Coturnix japonica: one gene and its partner. The protein of the gene in region 1 purifies or fractionates together with the protein of each later gene. This does not show direct contact. Links are inferred from orthologs where the notes say so. Each region holds a gene or a part of one and is shown in the gene's direction. Other genes may lie near its edges.

Region 1 (2,908 bases):
GTCTCTAAAAGTCGTTCCAGGTAAGTTATCCATTGCTTTCTCCTAGTACAAGAGGGTTGCTACTTATTAATTGCTAACAACTGAAAATGGCTATAAGTACGTTTCAGTTCATGCAGAATAAACTGTCTTTCTCTTTGGAAGATCTAAATCCAGGTCACGAAGCAAAGACCGCTCACGTTCCAGATCTAAAAGCCGGAAGTCTAGATCAAAGAGCAAATCAAAACCCAAGTCTGACAGGGGTTCGCGCTCTCACAGCAGATCTAAGGAGAAGTCAGAGAAGTCTCGGTCCAGGTCCAGGTCTCGATCTCCCAAAGAGAATGGTAAAGGAGATACTAAGTCTAAATCCAGGTCAAGGAGTAGGTCTCGTTCCAATTCTCCACAGCAGCAGCCATCTGCCAAGGCTCGTTCAGAGTCACCACCCAAAAGAGCTGCATCGAGGTCCCGTTCCAGATCTCGTTCAAAGTCTCGTTCACGATCAAGATCTAGTTCAAGAGATTAAGGCTAGAACTCTCCTCTTACCTTGCACACTATTATGGAACATTTTTCCTACTTGTCAGGCCATTAGTGTCATGTTAGTTCTTCAGAAGTTGTTTTTTTCTCTTGCAGGATTGAATGGCCTAAGAACTAATTAATGAGGCATAAAGCTTTAATTTGTATTCTAAATTTGAAAATACAAGATCAGATGGTGTGGTACAAAGCAGGAAAAGTCTCCCTCCCCCCCCCCCCCCCCTTTTTTTTTAATTTTTATTTTTTAGACATTCAGCTAGAACTTTGATTTTATAGCATTTCTGCTGGAGTAACTTAACTGCTCTAAAGTGCAAAGTGGTTTTTATATTACAAATTGAATATAACAGGCTTAAATCTGGGCTTCTTTTCCTCCCTCCCACCCCCCCAAGGTTTTAGAACTATGAGTATCATTGGCGTAGTAGGTTTACAGCTTGCTGCCAAAGGCAAGATCGTCTTGCAGGGCAGATCAGAATTGTCTGGTTTATTTGTGGAAGCCTGCTGCAAAGCTGTAAGCAAGAAACTAAACTAGAAAGGCTAGACCAGCAATAAACTCACGTTGGAGCATTTGTGTTGCATCTGAACTTGCCAAAAGAACATTCCTCCCCAATACTGTGACTGTATTAAAGGTAATAAAGGTACTCTATAACCTGTGTCATGCAGTATTGCTACAAATCATACTTTTGAGACTTAAAAGAATGAAAGCTTAGTGATGTTTTTTTTTGCTTGACTATCAAGTGGCAGTTCTCAGACACTAAAGTGTCTCTTGGATGTAGTTGAAGTCCTCTAGTATGTTGTATGATTTGTCAGCCTTGAAATACCTATTGGATATGAAAACTATCTAAAACAAAACTGTCTTTGCTCTCTTTAGACTCATTTATGTTAACATTCTACTTTAGAACTAAGATCGTATTGTGTTTGAACCTGAACTTTACCGGAAGCGTAATCTCTTCAAGCTAGAGTTCTAGTCTTAATGAAGGCTTTGCTAAACCACAGTTGCCAATTCACTTAAACTGTGAAATAGAACTCATCCTAAAATCTCCCCTTTATAGCTAAATTGATTTTTGTAACATGCAACATTAGAACTGCCTTGTACTCTTTATACAATGTGTAGTTTGACTTGTATAAAATTAAATTGGTGAATCAAACTCCTGTGTTTTGTTGGCTTGCAATGGAATTATTTTTGTCTCCTTGTGCTGAGGAGATCACCGTTTATCTTGTTTAAAGCTTTTCCTTGATTAACTACTATTCTTTATTTAGCACAGAAGTTGGGAGCCTTCAAAATCCAACTTGACCAGTAAGCACATATCCTGGTGAAACCGGAACTGAAATGATTTCATTGTATGTTTTGTGGTGGCAGAAGATTTATTACTATTATCCATGTTGTGTCCATCCCAAGCATGGAAGAGCTGCTCATAATAATTTCTCTTCAATTATGGGTATTTACTGGAGACTTCACCAGAAGCTGGATGGTTCAAAGATACACGACTGGAAAGATCTTATTCCCTTAAAATTACACAAGAGCACTACATGTAATAGGAACAGTTAATGGCAAAAGCATTTGGTGTCACTAAGCTTTTAACCTGATGTTTCAGGGATCTGTGTGTGTGTTAGGCATGCTGACTTTCTGCATTTGATATAATGCAACATAAACTTGTTCTTAAAAGAAGTTGAATGGTAAACACGTGTCATCAGATGTGTCGGAATGATTTAAAATGTTTTGTCTTCCAGCAAATTTTGAAGGAGAAATCAGCATTGCTCCCTGTGAGATGTGAGAATCATGGTGCATGTCTTTGGAGTCTCTTCCTGGGCTTTCCTTGTTTGCTTTTGTTTGTTTTTAAGTTACCTCTACTTAAATGTTGCTGTTTTGGTGCAAATCAGAATCACTAAGGTTCCAAAAGACCCCCAAGGTCTTCTAGTCCAACCATCTGCCTGCCACCACAGCTCCTGTTCGTGTGATGTTAAGTGCCTGTCTTAAAGCAAGATCAGACCTCAGTCTGATGTGTGTGAAACTCTTGACAGACAGTAGGAGAGCTTGTGCTTGTGGGTGAGTCAGAATGCTCTTTAGCTTTGGAAGGGGATTGGAACCTTGTAGAGAAGCTGCTGAACACTCAGTAGTCAGGAATGGCCTTAATTCTATATCAGGTCAGGACTAGCTGAGATTTCTGGATCTGCACAACAGCAAATAATTCACTGCTCAAGTAGGAGCTGTGGCAGCATCTGCAACTATTCCCTCAGAGAGGACTGACTTTGGCTGTTATACCTCAATGGGGATACCCAGTAACACACCATCACTCAGGGCTTCTTGCTGACTTGTAATTTTTATTTGCCTTAACGTAATCTGCATTGCCTGCCATTGTCAGTATGCCACAGGAGGATTCCTTTTCCCCAGCTCAGAAAGGTC
Region 2 (3,825 bases), on another chromosome or scaffold:
GGATAGGGAAGATCTATAACACTGAAGTAGGTAAATCTCATCAGAAATAGAAATGGTTCAAAGAAGTTCACTAGTCACTGAAGATAAAAGTATGGATTAAAGCTAGACAAATGGTGGTGATAGTATTAATAATCTAGATAAGGTTAAAAATTCCAAAAGGATAAGGAAAAATGTTAGTAGAGATGGGATTCAAAGCTGCATTGCAGTGGCATTTGCATGTGCAAGAAGAATCCAGTATAGATCTAAGCTAGGCAAGTGGACTAGGGAATAAGTCCTAACTTGTTTATCTAATGGCTGCTGAGTGAAGAAAAATGTTGGGGGAGGGAAACTGCAGTTGTCTGCTTTAGCCATTTGTTTTGCCTCTATACCAGTTTTCTTTTGGGTTTTTAATTTTTAGATGTTCCTGTGGAAGATGATAAAGATGGTGATAAAAAAGACGCATCCTTTTCAAAATCTAAAAGAAAACACAAGAAAAAACACAAAGAAAGACACAAGATGGGTGAAGAAGTTATTCCACTCAGAGTACTCTCAAAGTAAGTTTAATATGTGGCTTACTACCAGTGTCTTTTGATTATGAGCAGGCAGTTTGTGATGGTGTAAGATGCCCAAGCCGAAGTGAGTTTTACTCACTGCTTGGGTTTCCTGTGGATTTAAAACCCCCCTTCCCAGTGTTGAAACTTGCAGGTTAAAATTATGCCTCATATTACTTATTTAGCTGTCTGTATTTGGTCGAGTCTTGGCCCTGGAAGTTATGTAGAAGTGGTAGTAGCCTTTTTGCCCAGTGAATGTGTTTGGGAGTACTGTAATTTTAAAACGTTCAGTTGCCATGAGGAGTTTCTGCGTAGGTTTAAAAAAAAAAAAAAAAAATGTGCATAGTTTCACGTTTTATTGAATGCCAACACACATTTTATATAAGTAATCTGTATATACAGCAGCTTGTACAAGGGTTTATACAAGGTTTATGCAAGAGTTTTTAGGTAATGCTTGTGGAATGAGAACTTAGTGTGCAATTCAAGTGTGCATTTCTGACAGTCCATCACCATTGCTAAAGTGCAATTCCAATTTTTATATCACAGAGTTGCATATTAGCAACAGTATTAGCCTGTAGTTGAGAAGTGGGAATGCCAGAATTCTACATCTGTTGGGTTTCAGGAGACACCACAACTAAAACATGGAAGCACTTACTTTTTCAGGTGTCCAGCAAGTACCTCCATGTTAAAGTAGAGGGGGTCCTTGCTGTCCGATTACTAGCTCTGCATACAAGACTGTGTGCAGTGCAAATACAGAAACAGGATGCAAAATAATCTTGACTAGAGATGTTGTGGTAGAAATATTATGAGGCCCCACACTCCCTCCCCCATAATACAGAAACCAAAAAGATCCATAAAGAAATTGTTCTTCTGCTCCAGTTTCCAGTTGAGAAGAAAGATTCACCATCACTAAAACATGGAAGCACTTTCTTTTTAGAACAAAGCAAGCACGTCCACATTTAAGTTGTGGGAAACCTTAAGTAGAGAGGCTGCACTTCTTTCTGTAAAACAAACTACAACAATTACTTTAACAACACAATTAAAAATCATGCAAGTAAATGATAGTTTAAAAAGCCGACATTGGTTATTTCAGCGCTGGGTGCATGCTAGGTGGAGATCTCCATGCACCCAGCGCTGCAATAAACCATGTCAGCGCTGCGTTGTAATGCTTGTCATTTTTCTAAGAGGAGAAAGAAATTAGGATCCACCACCACTGAAACATGGAAGCACTTACTTTTGTAGGCAGCAGGTACCTCCATGTTAAAGCGGAGGAAGTCCTTTAAAAAATCCTTCTGAACCTACAGACCATAAACTGTCTTGGTTTACGTCCTTAGCTGCTTTCGGCCAAAAGTCTCTTTGCTCAAGTCTTGTGGGGAGAAAATTCTTGACCAAAATAAGAACGAAGCCGTGGACAGCATTTCGGAATTGAGAACAGGATTCACCTCTACTAAAACATGGAAGCACTTACTTTTGTAAAATCACAGAAAGCACCTCCATGTTAAAGTAAAAGGGGTCCACACCAAAAAAAAAAAGTTATCCAACGGTGCTCGTCTTCTTCCTCCAGGATCCTGAGGACAAAGAAATAAGTTTTAAATTGAAGCGAAGCGCAAAAAAAAAAAAATCCGTAAGAGGATAAGCATTGTAAATACTTGCCTGCCTCATTCCCCACAGTCTCCTCTTCTTTGGAGACACGCTGACAAGCAACTCCTTGTGCTTGTATTTATACCATACCTCGCCATGGAATGGTGTTGCCTTTTTATCTCAACGAATCATTACGTGGGTCTTTTGTTATTTTAATGTCTTTGCTCTGTTGAGAATGTATGATCCTGGGTGAGTCTGGATGCTTTTTTTGAAGTATACAGTTGTCAGTGTTAACAGCTAAAACCATTACCACAAGATATCCTCCTCTTTAAAAATCCTCTATCAGCTTGTTTGATAGTACAGATTAGGGTAACAATGAGTCGTTCTCACAGTGGCACTATAGGCATTGTGTTTCTGTGGAGCAAAGCTCTGGCTGTTTGCAGAAACATCTCCATGTTAAATGTATGTAAATATATAAATTGCTTCCATGTGGTGGTATTTTTTAAGCAGAGTGCATTTGAATAGTGAGGAATGTTCTTATCTCAGTGGGTTTTTGGAGAGTTTAACCAGTTGTTGATTTTCGATCAATGATTTTTCTAGAAAGTAAATGACTTATTCTTAATATAGTGACACAAAGTGGTTTCACTGAACTAATTCGGTAAATTCAGAGTTCACTGTCTCTGAATTAACTCTGAATATAGAGTCTGTGAGCTCTGTAGTTCCAGTAGAAGAGAGTTTACCACTGTTGTTTTCTGAACGTGTAATGAATTTGAGTCACTCTACAAGTGAGGTTATTCTTGTTTTAACTTGCTTGAAATACTAAAAGCTAAAGCAAAATTAAAAATGCAGGTACTGACCAAGGTGAAAATGAGCAAACTGTGTGGGGACTTCTAATAAGAAAGATCTACATCACTTGCCAAGTTTAGTTTCAGCCATCATAGACAGATTTGTCTGAGTTTCTAAACCTTATTTCTGTGTTTACAACTGGTTTACCTGTCTTGCCTTTACAGGACTGAATGGATGGATTTGAAGCAAGAATATTTGGCTCTTCAAAAAGCCAGCATGGCCTCCTTAAAGAAAACAATGTCCCAAATCAAACCTGAGCCTGTGGGAGAGATGGAAACAAATAACTGTGCACCGAAAAATCTTCAGTCTAAAAATGGCAAATGTAACTGTTTGTTCTTCATTTTCTTTTTATATGGTTCAAGAATGCTTAAGTCACTGGTCCTCTAGAAATATAGAAAAAGAAAACTTATTTTCCTATACTGATGTTCTCTTTGAATGCCAAGCTTCTCTCATTTAAATTGGTTTAGTACTAAGGAATTTTATAAGCAAAAAGTGGTGCAAGAACAGTCCAGTTCCACTTCTTAAACGAGATTATTTTTTTTTTTAGGTAATTGTAATTTTAAAAGCCAGGGAGAAATAAGTCAAGAATGAGTTTTTTGATGTTGGCCTGTGTTGTTTAACCATCCCTTCTAAGGGCTACAAAACTGTTAATCTAAAGCATTCAGAAATGCCTTATAATGGGGTTTGATCAGGTTTATAGCTAGAAGTTAAGCTGCATATTCTTGGATCTACTAGTATATTTTTCTGAAATGGAATTGTTTCCTCCCATCCCCACCTCAGGATCCTCTTTCCTTTCCCATTTAGTGAATTGAATTGAATTCAATTGAAATTGAATTGAACTTCGATAACAGACTTGTCGTTTATTTTA

The links.
Region 2: the proteins of SRSF6 (region 1) and LARP7 purify together in Homo sapiens (affinity purification with mass spectrometry; 3 studies listed by BioGRID and IntAct, with this or other methods). This does not show direct contact. The link is inferred for Coturnix japonica from reciprocal best matches to the Homo sapiens genes SRSF6 and LARP7.

What each region holds. Positions count from the first base shown.
Region 1 is NC_029535.1:35,271-38,178, reverse strand, and holds the end of SRSF6 (serine/arginine-rich splicing factor 6), read left to right. Parts: coding exon 1-20; intron 21-141; coding exon 142-499; 3' UTR 500-2,173; downstream 2,174-2,908. UniProt on the Homo sapiens protein: Plays a role in constitutive splicing and modulates the selection of alternative splice sites. Plays a role in the alternative splicing of MAPT/Tau exon 10. Binds to alternative exons of TNC pre-mRNA and promotes the expression of alternatively spliced TNC.
Region 2 is NC_029519.1:51,160,247-51,164,071, reverse strand, and holds part of LARP7 (la-related protein 7), read left to right. Parts: intron 1-397; coding exon 398-533; intron 534-3,121; coding exon 3,122-3,279; intron 3,280-3,825. UniProt on the Homo sapiens protein: RNA-binding protein that specifically binds distinct small nuclear RNA (snRNAs) and regulates their processing and function.